3 linked regions of the Arabidopsis thaliana genome follow. The protein of the gene in region 3 purifies or fractionates together with the protein of the main gene of each other region. This does not show direct contact. Each region holds a gene or a part of one and is shown on either strand. Other genes may lie near its edges.

Region 1 (8,891 bases), on a different chromosome or scaffold from region 3:
AGTTCTTGCCACTGTAGGAAAACATGATTCAGGAAGGACTTTTGTTTATTAATTCTAACAACGTTTCCCTGTAAGATTTAGCACTCGTGTATGAGTTTTAAACTTCTGTAAAGTGTAAACAACTTTTCTTTAAAAAAAAAACTAAAGTAAAGCACTAAATATTCAATAAACTAATACATTTTTCGGTTCTGAATTAAGTTTTAGGGTTAATCAACATATCTAAGAATTTCACAAGTCTATCAAATATTATAGCTTCAACATAATTTATGGAATTTTTATTGTAATTTGTGTGATTAGTTTGTTTAGCAATTTGGTACTACTGTTTTTACAACTTAAGGTCCGAATAGTGACAGCGTATTTGGCAGTGCGAGAAAAGCGGATTTATATTGCAGTACGGTTCAACTGCGGTACATGCGGGAGAAATATATTTGCGGTACAAGTGCGGTTTTTATAGCATAAGCGGTACGAAATAATGTTTGATTGGTAAGAAAATAATTTGCGGAATTTGTTTGATTGGTAAATAGATATTTAAGATAAATAATTGATAAACAAATATATTAGTAATATAAATTTAATTATAACTACATAATTTCATTTATTGTTAATGAAATAATATTTTCATCTAGTATCTTTTTAGAAATTTGTTATAGCTAAACCTATAATTTTCTTTTAAATTATTGAGTAAAAATTGACTAAAATGATTATTTTACAACTTGTTAATTGTCAATTACTTCTAGTAAACTGTTGTATCAAATCACTCATGTATTAGTTAGTGGTTGTTATTAAGTTTTTTTCTATTTTTATAAATTTAATAAAAAAAATCACTTTTTTTCTTTGTCAAGTGCGGATTTTGATTTGAACCGCTGCTCATTACTTGTTGGATAAATAAGTGCGTTTTCATTGATTAATGTTCTTACCTCAGAAAACGCAACAGTATTTTTTTTGTTTTCTGAAAAATAACGTAATTAACAAAATAACTGTGATTGGTGACATATTGAGGTTTTCCAAAAAAGCTATTCAAATACGCACTTATATATGTCTCCAATCAAGGCCTTAGGGTCGAATGGTGACAGCGTATTTGGCAGTGCGGGAAAAGCGGATTTATACTGCGGTACGGTCCAACTGCGGTACATGCGGGAGAAATATATTTGCGGTACAAGTGTGGTTTTTATAGCATAAGCGGTACGGAATAATGTTTGATTGGTAAGAAAATAATTTGCGGAATTTGTTTGATTGGTAAATAGATATTTAAGATAAATAATTGATAACAAAATATATTAGTAATATAAATTTAATTATAACTATATAATTTCATTTATTGTTAATGAAATAATATTTTCATCTACTATTTTTTTAGAAATTTGTTATAGCTAAACCTATAATTTTCTTTTAAACTATTGAGTAAAAATTGACTAAAATGATTATTTTACAACTTGTTAATTGTTAATTTAGTTCTAATAAACTGTTGTATCAAACCACTCAAGTATTAATTAGTGGTTGTTATTAAGCATTTTTCTATTTTCATAAATTTAATAAAAAAAAAATTACTTTTTTTCTTTGTCAAGTGCGGATTTTTATTTGAACCGCTGCTTATTACTTGCTGGATAAATAAGTGCGTTTTCATTGATTAATGTTCTTACTTTAAAAAACGCAACATTACTTTTTTTGTTTTCTGAAAAATAACGCAATTGACAAAATAACTGTGATTGGTGACATATTGAGGTTTTCCAAAAAAGCTATTGAAATACGCACTTATATATGTCTCCAATCAAGGCCTTAGATTGGTACGTTCGTAGGCGTTCTTATGGAATTTTAGAATTTTGTTTTAAATATATACCCTATAATTTGATAAGTATTTTTGAATTAACTTAGATATTTGTTGGAACAAAATGATTTTAAGTGTTGATTAGACTCTTGTGAGTGGTGGTTCAAGTTGAAATGAGGATATTTATTTTCTTTATTTAAATTTTAATGAAAATATCATAGAAGAGCAACATTCTCGAAAGTTTAAATATCTTGCAATAGGTGTCAAGTTCGAAAGAGCACTCCTATGCCTTTTGATCTCTTTTACTTTAAAATCATCACTTTTTACATGGTCATTTCAAAAACTTCTCTTTAAATCGTTGAACAATTTTTTTCTTTTCAAATAATAAATATCTGGACAGTCAGTGAATATGGAACTTTCTTTATCAAGTATGATATATGAATATGAGAATGATGCATTGATGCTTTGTATGGTTGGTTATTGATAGGAATACCCCAAATACGAAGTGGTATTTTGATAGATAAGACTAAAGAGATCCTAAAGAAAGAAAGAGATCGAAAAAGAAAAAGGAAAAAGAAAAAGAAAATAGGTATTATTAGTTGAGTTTAGGACCAAAAGTGCAACACACCAATACGAACCCGTATACACTACTACGCGTACGGCTCTTCCTTCACTCCTTGTATGGGTCCCTCGCTGAGCTTCTATAGTGGAAGCTCCCCAAACCCAACCATGAAATTGGCTCCTCATCACATTCACACCTTTAAAATTCCAATGTAATATATTTTCTTTCTCTGGAGACAAAACTTATTTTCAATCTAGTCTATTAGTTTGAGTTATTATTTGGAGTTTAAAAAATATGTCCTTTTCTTTTATTTGGTATTTCTATCCGAGAACACTTTGGCTGATTCTCTGGCAAAGGCTAGTCTTAAATCTTGTATCATCTCCTCTAGTGATAGAGAGTTTGAGTAATCTTAACGTCCCTAAATGCATAAATATATGCATTTTGATTAGGATATTTTTTTCTTGTTTTTTTTTTGTTTGCATTTTGATTAAGATTTATACACGATGGTTACAATTTTACTTAATTAATTATTATGGCTTTTGACCCCGAAATCGTATATTATTATATTCAATTCAGAATTTTGTATCTAAACACCGTTAGTGAAAAGTTTTTTTTTTCAGTATTATTACAAAGACAACGTTTCTCCTAACAAAGGAGAAACAAATTACAACAAGATCATCACAATCATCCTTACATATAAATAATCTTCGTTTAAAATAACCTTCTTATCATAAAACAATGCCCAACTTAGAGTAACAAGAAAGAACCAGCAATGGATGTAACACCAACGACGACCGCAGAGACGCCAAGAGCTGCCGCACCGCTTTTGGCAGAATCAGCAGAGCCTGTAGGCGCATTGTCGTACGAGGAGTCACTTCCTAGAGGACCAGCCACTGCAACGTCACCGTCACCAGGAGTAGGAGCTGCATCGTCATCGGTGGTTCCGATTTGGTCATCGGTGACTGGAGCCTCGACATGATCGGTTTTGGAGGCAGCTGGAGCTTTGGAGGGAGACGCTGAAGGAGATGGAGAGGAGGCAGCTGCGGCAAGGCCAATGATGGCCATGAAGACGAGGGCAACCACGACGACAATGTTTTGGCGACCCATTCTTCTCTCTCTCCTTCTTACGTAGAACTCGTTTAATTTATTTTAGGGTTTGAGGTTTATTGATTGTGATGATTTCCGAAGATGAGTTTGATATGTATATATAGTTGTGTTTTGTGATCAAGACCAAAAATAAAATAGAAAACGTTTGAACTAAGATGTAGGATTACCTTACAATCCAATGTAAATCTACTGGAGTACCTAAAAATGGACTTGTTCAGATATAGATTTTGATTGGTGAACATGCGAATGAATATGAAACCATTCGTTCAACTTCAAATCGTCGTATTAACGAGTGTCTTATTAAAGAACCAAATTATGATAGTATTGCCATGAACATTCTATTCATCTTATATCAGATGGGCTTTAAACCCATAAGCCCAAACGTCTTGTTAGGCCCATGAATCAATTCCGATTTACGATTCTGCCATCAACAGCGAGTTAGGGTTTTACACTCGACCACTTTAAGCTCTCAAATCTTCCAGACATTCTTCTTCTCGCTTTTTTCCCCATTTCAACTTTTTTTTTTCCTCTCCAGTGCACTAGGAAACAAAAAAAACCCAAGATCTATAGTTCGATCGGATCGAGAGAAGCTCGAAAATGGCGCTGGCGTTCGATGAGTTCGGGCGTCCGTTCATTATACTGAGAGAGCAAGATCAAAAGACTCGTCTTAGAGGAATCGATGCTCAGAAAGCCAATATCGCCGCTGGTAAAGCCGTGGCTCGGATCCTTCGATCCTCTCTTGGACCCAAAGGAATGGATAAGATGCTTCAAGGACCTGACGGAGACATCACCATCAGTTCGTTTCTTCCTTTTGATTTCTTCATATCTGCTTTTAAATTTCTAGTTTCGCTCTTGTTTACTTGGCATAGTGTTTACTATGTTGATGCCGTAGTTTGATGAATAGATCCATCTACTTTTTGAAAATCGATTCGCTATGTCTGTTAACTTAGCTCAGCTCTACTACTACTTGTATATTGTTTGTAACCTCGCCTTTGTTTTGCTTTTGCAGCAAACGATGGTGCTACGATATTGGAGCAAATGGATGTTGACAACCAGATTGCGAAACTAATGGTGGAACTGTCGCGGAGTCAGGATTATGAAATTGGTGATGGAACAACAGGTGTTGTTGTTATGGCTGGTGCACTTCTTGAGCAAGCTGAACGTCAGTTAGATAGAGGAATTCATCCCATTCGTATTGCTGAAGGATATGAGATGGCTTCTAGGGTGGCTGTTGAGCATTTGGAGCGTATTGCCCAAAAGTTTGAATTCGATGTTAATAATTATGAGCCTCTGGTTCAGACTTGCATGACTACTCTGTCCTCGAAGATGTAATGTTCCTTTTTGATATTCAGGCTACTTTTCAATAGTTGTTGCTTGTTTTTACTTGGTTTATAGTATACTGTCTTAACTCTTTCTTGCTCATTGTTACAGTGTGAATCGATGCAAGCGCAGCTTAGCTGAGATTGCTGTTAAAGCGGTTCTTGCTGTTGCTGATTTAGAGAGGAGGGATGTTAACTTAGATCTGATCAAAGTAGAGGGGAAAGTTGGGGGAAAGTTGGAGGACACTGAGCTTATTTATGGAATACTGATTGACAAAGATATGAGTCATCCGCAAATGCCAAAGCAGATTGAAGATGCCCACATTGCCATTTTGACTTGTCCCTTTGAGCCACCGAAGCCGAAGACTAAGCATAAGGTGGACATTGATACAGTGGAAAAGTTTGAGACATTGCGCAAGCAAGAGCAGCAATATTTCGATGAGATGGTACAAAAGTGCAAGGTAGGTTTTAATTTGTATTAATTTATATTGTCAGTTGGATGTTGAGTAAGCTACTGAAGAAATCCTTTTGACAATGGTCATTAGTACCACAATGCATTTTATGATATGATTTATGTATGACCCTTATGATTTTAACTTTGCAGGATGTTGGTGCTACGCTGGTTATTTGCCAATGGGGATTCGATGATGAGGCAAACCATCTATTGATGCACAGGAATTTGCCTGCTGTCAGATGGGTAGGGGGTGTTGAATTAGAACTTATCGCAATAGCCACAGGTAAGTAAAGTACTCTTAAGCATCTAATGCTAGTGTTTGTATCAGTTATGCAAAGCTGATCAGAAATTTTTCTTTTTGTAGGCGGTAGAATTGTTCCAAGATTCCAGGAGTTGACCCCAGAGAAGTTAGGGAAGGTATTTTTTTTACTTTCACTAGGTTTTGCTTGTAAAATGTTAATTAGATTTTAAACAGACCATTGAAACCCAACATTTCCTGATATATTTAGGCTGGCGTGGTTCGTGAGAAATCTTTTGGCACAACAAAAGAACGAATGCTGTATATTGAGCACTGTGCGAACTCAAAAGCTGTCACTGTTTTCATCCGTGGAGGTAATCGCCTTGTCTTTTGTACTTATTAGCACTTTAGCAGCACTGTTTTGACTTTTGAATAGCTGATGAGAGATAAACATCGATGTACTGAATCTAATGCCTTCTAAGTATATGGTGGACAACGATATTGTATAACTGATTGATCCAACGATTTGTTGCGGAATATGGTTTAGGTAACAAAATGATGATAGAAGAGACGAAACGTAGTATCCACGATGCTCTGTGTGTGGCTAGGAATCTCATCCGCAACAAATCAATTGTTTATGGAGGTGGGGCAGCTGAAATCGCTTGCTCACTTGCGGTTGATGCAGCTGCTGATAAATACCCTGGCGTGGAGCAGGTAAAATATGATCTTTCCTCTTTGATACCCTGAAATGAAATCATTTGTTTCTCAAATTGTAACTCTGAATACTAATCATGTATAAATACTTCCTCATTTACAGTATGCAATTAGGGCGTTTGCAGAAGCTTTGGACTCTGTCCCTATGGCTCTTGCAGAGAACAGTGGATTACAGCCCATTGAGACACTCTCTGCGGTTAAATCTCAGCAAATTAAGGTTAGTAAACGACGAACTTTATTATCTATATCATTGACTTGCTTGTTCGGTGACTGAACAAACATTGGGTTTTGATGAACAGGAGAATATTCCCTTCTATGGAATAGATTGCAATGACGTGGGAACAAACGATATGAGGGAGCAAAATGTGTTTGAAACATTGATCGGGAAACAGCAACAAATTTTGCTAGCTACGCAAGTCGTTAAGATGATTCTAAAGATCGACGATGTCATCTCCAATTCTGAATACTGATTTGTTGCTACCTTTGTCCTAACCTTTGGCTTCTTCGGTGTTTTTTGTTTGCTTTCTATTAGCTTTTGATACCCTTCGACATCGTTATCCTTGACTTGTTCCCTTTGTTTTGCAACCTTCTATTTAAGAACATCGTCAGATCTTAATTTTTGTGTGTACTTGTCCACAGATCGAAGCACTCGTTTGCATTTTCTTTTCGATTTAGTAACTGATGCAGGTCTCATACTGTAGACTAAACTATTATCGTATTAGTGTAACACCAGTGAACGAGGACAAAAGTAATTGTTTGCTTGTACATAAGAACATAAGAAATATGAAACCAAGCTTCGAAGGCTTCAAATACCCATCTGCTATGGTCTTTGTACACAAAATCTAAACCCTGAAGACTAATGTTTCCCACTCTTAAGATCTATAAACTTCGAAATCTGTTGCAGAGGGACTACAAGGCCTGAGTACCAAGATTTCTCCTCGTCTTATTCAAATCTCAATTCCTCTTTGTTTGTTTGGCTTCGCCTTAAGACATGAAAACATGAGTCTTTACCTCTTCTCTGTTTCATGAGAATGCTGTTGTTCTGTATCATGGCCAATGCCGAATGTCCCATTCGTAGTCTCGTCCTTTTGAATGGATGGCTTCCCATTCACAGCTACTGTGCCATCGGATGTTTCATCCACAGCAGAAAGTTCTGTTTTTTTATCATCTTCAGCGACAATGGCTGTATCAGATTTTTCATCTTGTTCATGTGCTTTGTCTGTATTTTGATTAGATAGAGCTGCTTCAGCTTTCTGCCTCTCTTCTTTTTCTCGACGTCTCTTTGCTTCTTGCTCTTTCAGCAGCCTAAACCTGGGATCACATGGACGTGTTAGTACAAAAAAACAGCTTCTAGGAACGAATGATGACACATTTTAGAAGATTTGGTTACCTTTCACCAGGTTTGGGGCATTCTGGGGTCACCTTTTCACCACCCTTCTCTCTTGGTATTTTCAGTTCTGAAACAGACTTCTGAACTAGTGGTTCTGAAAAAGACTTCTCAATTTGTTGTGTTTTATCTTCCTTAGTGACCAAATTAGTGAATTTCTCCACTGGATTCTTAGCACCACCATATTTTTGAAGCCATACTTGCTGTGCCGTGCTCAAAATGTTGTTGGTCAGCCTGCAAAAACACTTTAAAACTGAGAAGAATAGCGAGTGGAAGCTGACCACTCACGAAAACCACAGAAAATTAGACTCACCAATAAAGACTTAAACCAGAAGGAACTGATAATGCAAAATAGCCAATCATCAGTGGAAGAAGCTTAGTCACTGCTTGTGAGCTCTTCATGGCTGGATCATTACTCTGACAAAAAATGATAAGAAACATAAATTTCTCTGTTGCATAGAAGGATTTCGTTGTTGATTGAATTATACTTTAATGGAATGAGCTTTCAGCACAGGCACCAATGTGGTACACATTTTCAACATAGACGTAACTACTAATAGACTATTATCACATATTCCACATGATGCTATACCTGCGAGGACTGCATAATTTGAATGGAGAGGTATTGAGAGAAGACGAGCAATAGAGGTAAGACAAGATATGCTAATGTGTCTGGCCATCCGAGAGGTGGGTGTCCCTCCTGAGAAATAAAATGGAAATTTGTAGACATCAGCGATGAGGTCCGACACCACTCCCCTCAAGTTTTCTTCAATAATTCATTTTAATCAGTTTTATATGCTTGAACAATTAAACTGAATAAGAGTTCGTAAGAACTATGAGTCTAGTCTAGATTCCATTTTCGAAATATCAAGTTTCAAATGATACTTACAATGAAAGGGAACAGCCATGAGATTCCACTGCCATTCTGTCTTGCAGCAACAGTCGTTGGACCAGCAAGAGAAGGTATCCAGAAAAAACCTTCCGTTAAGAGCCCCTAAAGTTAGAAACAAGCATCCAACTACTTGTCAAAAAAGAATCTCAAGGCACTTACAGATACAAAAGGATATAGTTATTTCCAGGTACCTCATCTGCAACATTTGAGAGGGCTCTATATAGCCCAATCCAGACAGGTATCGTGGCTAGTGTGGGGAGGCAGCCTAACAGATAAATGAAAATATAGCTTAACCATAAATGTTGTCTCAAATGGAAAAACATACGATAAGCTGAAGTAACATACTGTACCTGCAAGGGGATTTATTCCAGCAAGCTTATACAATCTAGCAGTTTCAAGCTGAATTTTCTCCTGCAAAGATAAACAAAAATAAAGAAGCTATTTGTTTAAACA
Region 2 (7,788 bases), on a different chromosome or scaffold from region 3:
CAAATCTATCATTAATGGCATACCTAGTATTGCTGTAACTTGTCTTTCTCCTTTGTTGTATACTTGTTCCTTTTAATTTTTTCAAAGAGGAAGTGGTGTGATCGTTAAATGCTACTCATCTCTCTTATTATATTGGGAATGTCTCGATAACAAGTAGGGCTACAATATACTAAAATATTTTTGGGCAACAGTGCTGACAAGCTTTTAAGCCACATAATTTTGAATAATTATGATTTTCCTCTAAGCTCTCGCAGGGCTGCTAATCGACGGAAGCAGTCGTCATCAAACTTATTACTGAATTGTATTAAAATTGCATGCATAACAACAATAAATCATGTTTTTTAACACTAGCACATACGTCATGCGCGACGTGTCGTCAATCTGGTGGATGGTTAGTGATTCTCCTTTGTTATATTTATACGAAACATGTTGTTTCTGGCCTTTGTTCCACCCCTTCCCCCAATGCAACATTGGAACCCGTATATAACACTATCACCGCATTTAAGGCAATGGATACATATCAAATATTTTCCTACGGACTCTTTACATTGTCAAATCGCAAATAAAATGTGCCGACTAGATTATATAGCAAGTTGCATACTAATGATTACTGCTATTACCAAACATTTCATGTAATGTATGATCTCTACAAGTTGATACTTTGCCGAGGCTATAACCCAATACACAATTTCCAACTCAGGCCTATTCTTTTCATACCGCGTTTGCATATAGGAATTACATGAGTTGTTTTTAAATAACGTTCTATTTTACAGTTACCAATGACCTTTTTATCTGTTAGTCTTCATTAAATAACTAGTCGCATACAAAGTAAACATCTCTATATATATGGTCCGTTTTTGGCATATCTAGTGATATAAGTTAGGGTTTAAATATCAAATGCATCTGTAATTGAAAGTATGTGGTTTATAGAATTAAAAAAAAAAGAAGGAACAAATACATATATATATATATATATATATATATATATATATATATATCGTGTGTTTTATAAATAAAGCGGATTACTCATTACCTACGCATGTTTACGTTCTCATTAGTAATTGAAATCTATAAGTTATGTGGCTCATCCAGAACAACGCCATATATAGATGGCGTGTGTTTTATAAATAAAGCGGGTTACTCATTATCGTGTGTTTTAAATGCTACTCATCTCTCCTGTTATATGTGGAATCTTTTGCTACGAAGTAGGGCTACAATATATTAAGACATTTTCCGCAACAGTGCTTACAAGCTTTTAAGCCACATAATATTGAATAATTATGATTTCCCTCCAAACTCTCGAAGGGCTGCTAATCGATGGAATCTGTCGCTTCTGTAAATGTCGCATCAAACATATAACTGAATTGTATTTGAATTACATGCATAACCACAATAATTCATGTGTTTTAACATTATCGCAGACGTCATGCGCGACGTGTCGTTTATCTGGTGGATGCTTAGTGGTTATCCTATGTTATATTTATACGAAACACGTTGTTTTTGGAATTTGTTTCACCCCTTCCCCCAATGCAACATTGGAACTCGTATATAACACTGTCGCCGCATTTAATGCAATAGATACGTATCAAATATTTTCCTACGGATAGATTTACATTGTCAAATCGCAAATAAGATTTGGCGACCATATTATGTAGCAAGTTGCATACTAATGATTACTGATATAACGAAACATTGCATGTAATGTATGATCTCTATAAGTTGATACTTTGCCGAGTTTATTGCCCAATACACAATTTCCAACTCACGCCCATTGTTTTCATACAGCGTATGCATATAGGAATTACATGTGTTGTTTTTAAATAACATTCTATGTTACAGTTACCATTGACCTTTTTATCTGTTAGTCTCCATTGAATAACTAGTCGCATACAAAGCAAACATCTGTATATATATATGGTCCGTTTTTGACATATTTAGTGATATAAGTTAGTGTTTAAATATCAAATGCATCTGTAAAATCTAAAAGGTATGTGGTTTATAGAATTAAGAAAAAAATGAACAAATACATCTATATATATCGTGTGTTTAATAAATAAAGCAGGTTACTCATTATCTACGCATGTTTATGTTCTCATTGGTAATTGAAATCTATAAGTTATGTGGCTCATCAGGAACAAAAACATATATAAATGGCGTGTGTTTTATAAATAAAACGGGTTACTCATTACCTACGCATGTTTATGTTCCCTACATATAGACACCTAGTGTCGGAACTCACGAGTTCCCGTCTATTTTTCCAGGTTATTTTGGTTATTTTACACCCCAAGAAAAAACTATTTACTAAAGTTTTCTGACGTATGACTATTTTGCTAATTTGTATGTCGAATTTGGCTAGTTAGCTAATTGACACAATTTTAATACTCTTTGTTTCCAACCAAATAATACAAGATTTTATCAAAAACAAAATATCAAATTAAAAATCTAATAACATGTGACTTTATTTGTTTAGATTTCTAAATTAATTTTATTCCAAACCAATTTAAACTACACATGCTAAATTATTAATTTTCATAAAATTAGAAATAATAAAATACAATAACTTGTAATTCCCTCTAGTCCATGAAGTTTGATGTTTTAAATTTTACTTTTGTTTCACAAAAGTTGATGTTTTAAATTAATATTATTTTCATTAGTGATCAATAGAGAAAGGAAAAAAAGTAGAACTGATATTATTAAATTAATTAAAAAAATAATAAATGAATTATAAACACGAGAGGGAGGCAAGAAAAAACTACTACAACAAGAGCACCATCATCGGAAAATACTTCATGGAGAAAACCGACAGTTTCTTTTGTCAAGTGCAATTTCGATGCGGACTTACACAGGAATAGTACTTAAAGTACGGGTGGATGGATTATACGAGACCATGAAGGGATAGCAAACACATGAGGATCTTCAATTTTAGATCATGTCAACACTCTCCTAAAGGCTGAGACGAAAGCGTTACTTGTGGCGATGCAACAAATTTGGATACAAAAATACAAGAAAGTACAATTCCAAAGAGATTGCGAAGTCCTCATTAAAACCATCAATGGCAAGTCTAATAGAAGTAAAATTGCTAATTTACTTCTAGATTTAGAGTATTGGTCTTCAGATTTTCATCTATTGTATTTACTTTCACAAAACGTCTTTGTAATAGTATAGCTCACCATTTAGTTTTCCTAATTTTACGATTTTTGTGTTTTAAGCGGACTATTTTGCTTCCCCAATTTTTACGATTTCTGTGTTCAAAGCAGACTTTAGGAACGAGCCAATTTGGTTCAAAAACCTTCTCTGTAATGATCTACATTCATAGATTAAAACATAGTTTGCAGTAAGAAAAAACAATAAAAATAATATAAAAGTTATTTTTTTTAATTTGTGAAAAATCCAAAATATCATTGTTTTAGGATCAGAGGGAATAGTAAATTTATAATCAGTGTAGTGAAAAATGTGTAAATAAATAATGTAAAACCAATTGAAACTGCAAATGTTAAATTATGAATTAAATTAATTACTATAAAAAGAAATAATATAATGCTAAGTATTTATTTATAAAATTATAATCCTTTTAAATGTGTAAAAAATAATAAAGAGTAATGGATAATTAAACCCAGCCCATTAAGTTTCATAAGCCCATTTTACTCTACTGTCTTCTTTCTCTTTTTTTTGACAATCTTTACTTTCTTCTTCTAAGCTCTATAAGAGAGACCATCCTCCTCTAGCTTGAAGCAAACGAAAAGCTTTTGAAGAACAGAGGAACAAGAAGAAGAAAGATGTTCAGGAACCAGTACGACACAGATGTGACAACATGGAGTCCCACAGGTCGACTATTCCAAGTCGAATACGCCATGGAAGCTGTGAAACAAGGCTCCGCAGCAATAGGACTCAGATCTCGCTCTCATGTCGTCCTCGCTTGTGTCAACAAAGCACAATCAGAGCTCTCTTCTCATCAAAGGAAGATCTTTAAAGTCGATGATCATATTGGTGTTGCTATTGCTGGTCTCACTGCTGATGGTCGTGTTCTCTCTCGATATATGAGATCTGAGTCTATTAATCACTCTTTTACTTATGAGTCTCCTCTTCCTGTTGGTCGTCTTGTTGTTCATCTTGCTGATAAAGCTCAGGTAAATTGAGATTTTTGGGTTAACTTTTGAATTTTGACCTAGAATTTGCTAAAGGGTTTAGTTTTATGATGTGTGAGTATCTGAAAGTTTGAAGCTTTATGTAATTGGAGTAAAGTTTAGGTTTTTATTAGCAATGTGGCCAATTTTATTTGTAGAATGTGTGTGTTGTTATGCAAGTAGTGATATTGGTTTGTGATCAAGTCTTAGTGATTGGGAATTAGAGATTCTTGTGTTGTTAATCATATCCAGTTCTGTTGCTAGTTGCTTAATCCGATTAGAAAGAGTTAACCTGTATACCCACTTTGACGATAGAAGTGTATAAGAATGTGATGATTTTGGTCGTTTGGTTGTTTCTGTGTTGTCATCGTCTGTTCTCTTTGCTTGATAGAGTTGTTTTTGCTTGCAATTCTAGAATAAATATACGTCTTTGTTGATCTCTTTTTGGTTTTGTGGTTTTGACTTGTATTACTTTGCATTTGTTTACTTACTTGTAGTTGTAGTATGTCCTGGCCACTTTATTTACTTGCCTAATGAAGTATATTTTCAGTAAGATGTTGGTTTACAGTTGTGATAGAAATTTGTGCTACATGTTCACTACTTTTGGTGTTAAACGTAGTGTTCTCAAGTTAGATGATGTGTTCACAATTTTTAAAAGGTTTGATTGCTACGTCCCACTTACTTTCATGTCTGTCAAAAATTAAGTTAGCTGCTGTATCTACATTTTCAATTGATTTCTGAGAACGTATTGATATCAGTCTTGTAGTTTGAACAACACTCTGATTTCATTCAAATGTTAAGTCATTTGTTTGTCTTGTATTAAACATCTTCATAAATTATCTTTGAGCAGGTATGTACCCAACGATCATGGAAACGGCCTTATGGTGTGGGTTTGCTGGTAGGTGGATTGGACGAGTCAGGAGCTCACCTCTACTACAACTGCCCTAGCGGAAACTACTTTGAATATCAAGCATTCGCTATCGGGTCTCGTTCACAAGCTGCGAAAACCTATCTGGAGCGCAAATTCGAGAGCTTCCAAGAATCATCAAAAGAAGATCTGATAAAAGATGCTATTATGGCCATAAGGGAAACTTTGCAAGGGGAAACACTGAAGAGCTCGCTCTGCACTGTTTCTGTTCTAGGAGTCGATGAACCATTCCATTTCTTGGACCAGGAAAGCATTCAAAAGGTGATTGATACGTTTGAGAAGGTTCCTGAGGAAGAGGAAGATGCTGGTGAGGGTGAGGCCGAACCCGAAGCTGCTCCTGGTGCTGCTGGAACTGGTGAACAAGGTGGTTCAGGTGATCAAGATGTTGCACCAATGGAAATTTGAGCAAGAGGGAATGAGTTCAAAGTTGGATTTTCTAACCAATTTTCTTGTGTGTAGCTCTTTGATATGTTCCAACTTCCAAGTACAATTGTGGTTTTTATTCGGCTTTGTTTATTTAACAGCTTGGAACAAGGAGTTATTGAGTGCCACTAGCTTATGTTTAGTCCTACTTAAGTCAAATCTGTCACATGATAATAATAATCGGCGAATCGCCAACCTAGAGAGTGTATCAAACAGACACCATTTTGAATGAGAGAAACAGCGAGAGAAAGAATGAAAGATTAATCCAACTTTGTTTCTCTTTCTGCAAATTGTTCCTCGAAGAAATGACTTCATAATGCAACCATACATTATTGAGCAAGGATGATAAATCTCCTGCTTGCTCGGAAGAAAAGTTAAAACCAAAATAATATCTCTCTTGACCTTCCAGAGAATCAATCCTGTCTTGAAATGATTTCAACACACAAAAACAACCTGAGATTGGAATTAGAAGTACTGAGTAGACGGAACCTTGGCGACGGGTTTACCACCTGGTAAGACATTGTCGGGAAGAATCAACTCCGGTGGAGTTTCACGGGTAATCCCAAGCATTGAATCGTAATCCTCGTCCTTGCGTGCATACTTCTTCCTAAGCGCTCTCTCAACCTCGATCTGCTCAAATGACTTTGAATTCTCTGAGGCGTGAATCTGTGCGAGATTGATGTAATTCTTTGCTGACTGTGAGATGTATACTATCTCTTCATCTGTTAACTTTCTCATGAACTTTGCTGGATTTCCTCCCCACACCTGCCACATGAAACTGATAACTTATAGATATGTCCTTGTAAATATATTCTCAGGTTGACGGTTGAAGAAAGTAGTTCAAAAGCATAGCGATATAAGAAATCCGTCTAATTCCTCATAAAACATTGGAAACACAAGAACCCTCTGTTACTCCCAACTCACCCTTGTTTCATATACAAGTAGAATTGCAACGGAAACAAAGGTGGTTCTCAGATTTAGACGATATATAAATACTATTTACTCTTCTTTTTGATCAAAATATAATACAATTTACAGGCATATCATTTCATTAACTAATTCTGTATCAACTAAATTGTAAGCAAAGCAAAAGTGGATCTACTTGAAGAAGTTCAGCTGGTCAAGCCTTAGCTACAGGTCAGCGTAGGACTAAATGCAGCAGACTACAGCTGCTATTACTTGGTTAATTAGCAGTTCGTTATTAGGCTTGGTAGAGCTTCAGGGTCCGTGATAAGTAAACCTAGCTAGAGTTCTATTTTTGGTTCTTGATACTTTGGATTTTCTCGTTCAGTTTAGTGAGAAATAAAGCAGTTTCCAGTTCCAGTCTTATCACAAACTCCGTAAGCAGTAAACCAGAAAAGATAAAGTGGAAAGAAAGAAACCTCTCCAGAAGGGATTCGCGTGTTCTGTTTCACAAGAGAACCAGCAGCAACCATGGCATGTTTCTCAACCACCACACCATCAAGTAGTGTTGCTCCCATACCAACAAAAGCATCATCCTCAACAGTACACCCATGAATGACAGCACTGTGACCTGCTCCGTTTCATTTTACAAACAAAACCTTTAACTAACAATCGTGTAACACAACATAAAAACAGATACTTCAAAACTGATAAATCGCTTTTTAAGGTTTACCTACTGTTACATTGTCCCCAATCAGAGTAGGTAGAACCTTGCCACTTATGTTGGTCTTTGCAACATGTACAAGCGTATTATCTTGGATATTCGTCCCAGATCCAACACTGATGTTATTCACATCACCTGCACAAGTTAGAAACCCAGATTAACATACAATAAGTTTCACAGCTACTTCATGACACATTTTATCGACAGTACAATAAATCTATGTCCAATGATCAGGACAGTAACGTATAACAGCGATACAAGATTATTAGAAGGTAAAGAGAACTTCATTTCCTAAAACTAAACTATGACTACTTTGCACAATATACTGCTGCAAAATTTGGTACTTCTATCGAACCAAAGGCCATTAAGACTTTCTAGAAGTAATAAAGCCTCACCTCGAAGAACACAGCCATACCAAATCGACGAGCCTTTTCCGATCTGAACATCACCAATAACAGAAGCACTCGGAGCCACAAACACATCTTTATCCACCAATGGTGATTTATCAAACACATTCATCAACGTCCGATGCCTCGACACTGAAAACAAACACAAATTTCTCGAATCAAATTTTTTCAATCTAAGCCACAAATTTCTCCAATCAAAGGTGAAGACACAAATTAGAGATAACGAATTGGATCTAGGGTTTCAATAGAGAGTATTAAGTGGAAGGATCTGGAAGCTTA
Region 3 (6,417 bases):
CCACTAGTATACGACTCATCATAATCAACATCACTTTCTCCATTGGATGGTGGCTGAGCTACTGCATGTGGATGCCTCAGTGGAGGGTTTTTAGTCTGTAATACACAAAGTGAAATATCAAGTTTAACGAATAATAACTAGCAAGAACAGTAAGGATATCAAAAATTTCACTACTAGCAACATGACTCTCAACATTCTTATAGCTGATATACAAGTACAAGATTCAAAATGAGTGTGTTTAACAAACTAATTACCAGAGGAGAACGTGACCGTGCAGCCCTTCCACCAGGAAGTCCTACACTTGGAATGCTGCTTGTATAAACATATGGAGTCTCATCATCTTCGTTATCCTCATCTGCTCGCTGATGAGCTGCCATCACCGGACGCCCTTGTGGTTGGGTTTTGTTCTGTGCTTTCCAAAATATTGAAATTTTGAGAAATAGTTAAAATATGAAAATAATAATAAAAACCTAGAAACAACAAGTTTCAAGAGTCGATCAATACCATAGAAGATTGTGGCCGCATAGCCCTCCCACTTCCAAGCCCAATACTTGGTCTACCAATTGTATAATCTATAGAAACAACATCATCATCATCATTACCGTCATTCTTATTTCCTTCGTTTGTTGGTTGTGTACGTCTCGGAGGTGCAATCTTAGTCTGCACCAAAAGAGTAACAACATATGAAAGCTGAAACCAAGATACACTTGGCAGGCAAAAGAACTTAAAACTAGACTGACCATCACAGGAGACTGAGGTCTCATTGCTCTTCCACCAGGAAGTCCAATACTTGGTCTACTGCTCGTTACATCCACTGAAAAATCATCATCCTCATTGTCCTCATCAACTAACTGTGGAGTTGCCATCTGTTGACGCCTTGCCATAGGATTCCTAATCTGTCAGTCCAGAAAACACTATCACATAAAATCCCTACATTGCAAAACCCTCATTACAGTGAAAAAGTGAGTCTGTTAATTTTAATTACCACAGGAGAGCGAGAAGGATGAGATCTTCCAGCTGCGAGTCCAATGCTCCCTGTTCCGATAGCATTATAGTCAAAGGAAAGGTCTTCATCACTATCTTCCTCGTCCCCTGTTTGATTTGACATCACAGCCGCAAGTCTCTGAGCAGCTGCTTTTGTCTGAGCTTTCTTAGCATTCGAAGCTGGCCCAGCATTTGATCCTGAACGTGTATGACGATGCATTAGAGGAGACGTCATCATAGGCGAAGATGGTGTTCCTGGTTCCGTACTCTTATTCCTAACATGAATAGGTCTCGTGTTTCTCATCGTCAACTACAAAAATTAAGCACATTGATTTTCATCATCACATTCACATCAATGGCAGTTTGATTGGAACTAAAAATTCCACACATTGAATTAAAAAAATAGTTACCAAATTTGTCAAAATTTTGGAAATCACAGAAAAGTGAAATCCAGAAAAATGGAAAAAGAATTAAATGCGTGAATTAAACAGAACCTTACAAAATTAGATTCAACAGAAATCTCAAAGAATGTTTCAAAAGAAAAAGCAATGAATAAATTTGCCATTTATGGCAGCACATATTTCTCTCTCTGACTGATCTTCGGTCATTTAGCCAGAAATTGCGAGTGGCTTTCAACGGTCGGATTGAGAACAGTTTCTTCTTTAATTATTTATACTTTCATCCCCAATAATTTATTATTGTTATCGATAGTACCTAAATTTATTTATTTTATAGTTTTCATCCCACGATTGTGTAATAATTATCCAAAGTACCCTTTTCCAATTATAATAGCATTATCATCTTTTTGTTTATGGTTTAGGTACAGTTTTTAAAGTTTTCTCACGGTTTGTAAAATAGAAAAAGGAAAATCAAGTAACTAAGAGATATATTATTTGATTTGATAGTTAGCTCGTAATTGTTTCGTCTACCACAACGGCATATAGAAATTTATATTTCTAGTTATGACTTATGATCAGTGATTATAGCATATGTTGTATGATAAAAAATATTTTTCATATAGTTTTTATTTCTTATTAAATTATTAATTACTTATTAGGCAATACATATTTTTTCATTTATTACTTGATATCTCTAACTTTTGCTCTCTTTGTAATACGTAAGTGTAACTTATCTCTGTGTTGTTTTTATGCTTGGCAACATCAATCCTTAATAAGATAGATGAGCTTTTTATCATATCCGAAATAGCCTCTAAGCAGCAGAAAGATGAAAGAGATGATTTAGCCATTCCTTTTGCTAGATCAATTCTCAACCATAAAGATTCTTTGAAAGAGATGAGACTGATAACATTTCGGGATATACAAAATCCTTGGAAAAGGTGAATGATGCGTCCTTATTACTATTTATTATTTCTAGAGTTAAAACATAAATATCATATTTGTTTTTTTGTTCGGTAGGCTCTTGAGATACTTCAAGAACAAGTTAAGATATCTGAGAGACTATGGTTGTGCAAGAGACTTTTCTTTCCCGAATGAGGATGATAACTAGCAAGCAGTTTAACCAAAAAAGTTTAAATTCTTTAGTACTTGAGGTATTTTATTCATGTAAGATTTTTTTTATTATTTCTCATTTCTTCAGTGTTATTGCAATAGAATGGTTCATCTGTTTACAGGTATGCTCTTAAGTCCTAACGAATGCAATGACCATGAACATTGATGATGTCCATGTTGCCAAGATATTGGGAGTAGACTCTCGCAAATCTTGCGTTGTCTGTGGTATCGTCTTTAAAAGTGACGATGTAGGTAACATTAGGCATCCTTTGAAAAATGCAAAGGTGAGACCAGGTTGAACAAATCTTGCATAACATGGCATCCTTTGTAACTGTCTTTCTCAAGGATGGTTGTGTTTTTAATTGTTGACTATTTTTCTCCTTTATTTTGGGTTCTAGTCTTCTAGGTACATAACTTTGGAAAGTCAAAGGAAGCCATGCTTGAGACTTTGGTTAAAGATATTGCTTTTTCCAATGTAAAAGTTATTGTTAGTCGGTCATCAATTTGTGAAATGACACTACGTTTCTGCAAAATTTACAAGTAAGTAATCTCTAACATTTGAACCTACTTTGAATCATTTTTTCTGAACCTTTTGATAAATACAGTGTTGGCAATACCATTTTTTTTAGGATAATGGTTCTACAGATTTCTTCTGACATTGATATTAACAGTTTATGTTCAATAGTTGGTGCAATTGATTCATCTCAGCATTTCCAACCTCATCATCTTGGATACATGGATTCTACATCATTATCAGAGATTGGTAATTCCTCAACAATCACTTTGTGTGGAACGAAATGGAAAGTCTTAACCAAACAACAAAGCTACATTACTCATGGAATCAATACATACAATTTAATACTTGTATATTTACTGAATTAGTTATTCTTGTCTGTAGCCAAGAGAGCTGTAAAGAAGGCAGAGAGAGATGCAGAGAGGGCTGAGAGAGCCTCTCAGAAGAAAGCAGAGAAGTTTAAGAGTAAGCTCCAGGCTGAGAAAAAGAAGGATTGAAACTAGATCAGATAATTGATGTGTTTCTTTTTATCATGTAATGAATGACTTAGAGTAATGTAGAGATTATTGTTCTTAAAAGGTTTGCGGGAGCTGTCTTCACTAAAGGTAAAAAAATCTTAACATGTGAACTCTTTTTGTCGACTCTATCCTTTTTTAGAAGCAGAGGTCTGTTATTAGATGATTATTTAAGAGACATTTTTGAAGTATTTGCTCTGTATAAAGGATCATGAGGCATTTTTTTGTCATGTCTCAAAAATAGACGGAATACATTATCAAAGTTTATATATTTATAGATTATAATGTGTAAGAAAGCAATGTACAACCATGTCTAACGCATAAGCCCCAATAACGTAAAAGCCAGCACCTCTTCAGAACAATCTCTTCCTAAAGAGAGCTCCAGATGAGAAACTATCGATTTAAAAAATACACTAGATGGAAACAAAAAGTATGAACCTTTAAAAATACTCCTCTCGAGTCAATATCAATCTATTAGTCACGGTCTTAAGAGAGTTAAGCTCGAATTCAACTTTATAAAGGTGCTCTAACGAAGATGTTGCCTCCTCCCTAGCAATCTAAAACGATTCCAAGATCTAAGGTGTTAGTACAAATACCCGTAAGAACAACAACATATCAAAACTTGAAGTACCTCAGCTTCTGTGTGAAGAGCCAAAACATCTACCCTCCTTCCTCCATGATTTTGTGATGCAACTCTCAAAGCAGCCTGAAAAGAATTTGGTTCTATGGATTATGCTACTTTTTTATAGGCCAAGATCTAAACTAGAATCATAAAGCCTCATGGAACTTTATAATAAAAAAATAATGTATGAGACCATGTAGATAAATGATAAGACACTAACCTCTCTCTGAAGCAAGAAACACATTCACAGAATTAAATTTTTGTCAAAGGTTATCCAGAATTTAAATAGAACGGAAGCTTACCTGCTTTAAAGACGTGCGTTCATAGTAACACCTTCTCCAAGGATTTCAACCTAATAAAAATCGGTTTTGAGTTTACAAATGTGATAAAATCTCGAGGTAATGAAACAATATAAACAGTACGTAAGAAGAGATTTGTATGATATACTGAGGCATGAACCACCTGCATACCTGTTTCTCAAGTTGCTTAGCTCTAGCATCTGATTCTTCACACTTATCTTCTGCAAGTCGAAGCTGGGGATGCACAAATTAGGATGGGATGCATACCATAATAAAATTGTACAAGGATTATCTAACTTCAAAACAAATCTTGTATATTAATACACATAAGATTGGCAACAACTATGATAAAATGATAGGCTAGTCCAAATAAAAAATTCAAATTTGCCAGTGTAATTCAATGATAGCTTAATTGTAACAAATCAAGAGATTCTTTTCAGGAAAAGATGTCATCAAATGAAATTGAGTAACTAATCCATACTGACACCAAGTGTGAAAATTTACTGGCATCACCTTTTCTAACTACCTTTCATTTTCTTCATATAACATTTGAATTTTACATCAGTTTCCATAATCTAACTATAAAAATAATAATTCAACTTGATATCTATTTGAAATTTAGTTTGATTCTTGATTTGATCTATATGACTTGGAATCCTTGTGTCTGAATCAGGGGCGGATCTACATTAGCATGAGATAGGGCACGTTCCCCATACTACTTCTTAAACTTTAGCTAGTAACAATTGATTGGTTATATCTTTTACATCATTTAGCAATAAGTGCCCTATGCCACATCTTAGATGCAGTGTTCGATACCCCTGTGTACAATGTTTTTGGCTTTTATTCTCTTTATTTTATATTTGTTTTCCACATTCTTGTTTAGCGTCTTCATGTAATTAGATGCATTTTTCTTATTCATTGTTATCGTTTTTTAAAGTAAAACTATGTTCTGCTGAAAATAAACAAAAATAAAAGTATTCTTTTTCAGTTCTATTTTTATTTTTGTAATTCTAGTTTAACTTTAACAAATTTGAAGTCATAACTATTGTAAAGTATACCTACATTTTAATTAAAAATGATAATAAAAACTAGGGAATTAGTAAACAATGCTATATCATGTTCTAGTCAATTTAATATTTAAAGTTTCAAGTAAATATAAATAATATTATATATATATATATATATATATATATATATATATAAGTTACATTTTTGTAGTGAGTTGTACTTCTAACTATGCATCTTTCTAATTAAAAATAGTGTGTTTGGCGATGTCAATTTAAAAATATATTAAGGGTGACAATGTATAATTAATTTAATATTATAAAATAGTTCTTAATATGATTATTATGTAAATCAAATATCATTAATCATATGTTATTGTGCCCTACATAAATTGTTTTCATGGATCCGCCACTGGTCTGAATATTCCAAAAATTTCTAAAAGAGTTTATAATTATTATGGATGGTTAAGCCAACTATGTTATAGTATTAAGACCATCTCCATTGAGATTTTCTCACAATTAAAAATAAAAAATTATTAAAATGAAAGAGAGAGTGTAGAAAACTTTGAGATACTCTCTACAACTCATCATGATATTTTTCTTCTTACCATTGGTTTAATTTTTTAATTAAAATAAAATTTAATCATAAAATCAAATTATAATAAAATATTATTTTTTTTTTTGTTTGAGAAACTATTTGGGTTTCTCATTGATGGAGATGCTCTAAACTATACTTAACACATCGGGAAAGTGCCTATAATCAAATGGCTAATTAATTGTCTATTTCTACAGCTTCTTTTACTGGAACTAGGAGTGTACCCACGCTACGCATGAGTTGTTATTTTGAAAATGGTTTTAAAATAATTATATTCTAACTATTTTATTACTAGTTTATGTTTATATTTGTGTATGTTATTATGTAGTTGATAAATTTATATTCATTTTCTATAATAATACTTTTTATAGTTAAA

Evidence for each region.
Region 1: the proteins of AT4G08640 (region 3) and AT1G24510 fractionate together in Arabidopsis thaliana (co-fractionation; one large-scale study listed by BioGRID). This does not show direct contact.
Region 2: the proteins of AT4G08640 (region 3) and PAF2 fractionate together in Arabidopsis thaliana (co-fractionation; one large-scale study listed by BioGRID). This does not show direct contact.

Annotation. Positions count from the first base shown.
Region 1 is NC_003070.9:8,683,242-8,692,132, reverse strand, and holds AT1G24510 (TCP-1/cpn60 chaperonin family protein), read left to right. Parts: upstream 1-3,886; 5' UTR 3,887-4,031; coding exon 4,032-4,230; exon of another isoform or gene 4,231-4,330; coding exon of another isoform or gene 4,331-4,370; exon of another isoform or gene 4,371-4,443; coding exon 4,444-4,762; intron 4,763-4,865; coding exon 4,866-5,214; intron 5,215-5,357; coding exon 5,358-5,490; intron 5,491-5,571; coding exon 5,572-5,624; intron 5,625-5,716; coding exon 5,717-5,819; intron 5,820-5,992; coding exon 5,993-6,159; intron 6,160-6,262; coding exon 6,263-6,376; intron 6,377-6,458; coding exon 6,459-6,629; 3' UTR 6,630-6,862; downstream 6,863-8,891. Other genes in the region: BCP1 (homolog of Brassica campestris pollen protein 1), read right to left, coding at 3,075-3,434; ALB4 (OxaA/YidC-like membrane insertion protein), read right to left, coding at 7,167-7,470, 7,550-7,780, 7,860-7,963, 8,139-8,246, 8,436-8,540, 8,630-8,703, 8,789-8,849. UniProt on the Arabidopsis thaliana protein: Molecular chaperone; assists the folding of proteins upon ATP hydrolysis. Known to play a role, in vitro, in the folding of actin and tubulin.
Region 2 is NC_003070.9:17,315,444-17,323,231, forward strand, and holds PAF2 (20S proteasome alpha subunit F2), read left to right. Parts: upstream 1-3,675; 5' UTR 3,676-3,776; coding exon 3,777-4,127; exon of another isoform or gene 4,128-4,974; coding exon 4,975-5,457; 3' UTR 5,458-5,759; downstream 5,760-7,788. Other genes in the region: GAMMA CA2 (gamma carbonic anhydrase 2), read right to left, coding at 5,941-6,240, 6,858-7,009, 7,112-7,237, 7,498-7,641.
Region 3 is NC_003075.7:5,510,672-5,517,088, forward strand, and holds AT4G08640 (ATP binding protein), read left to right. Parts: upstream 1-2,641; coding exon 2,642-2,776; intron 2,777-2,898; coding exon 2,899-3,032; intron 3,033-3,121; coding exon 3,122-3,255; intron 3,256-3,390; coding exon 3,391-3,503; downstream 3,504-6,417. Other genes in the region: AT4G08630 (fas-binding factor-like protein), read right to left, coding at 1-95, 255-407, 505-660, 741-896, 986-1,288.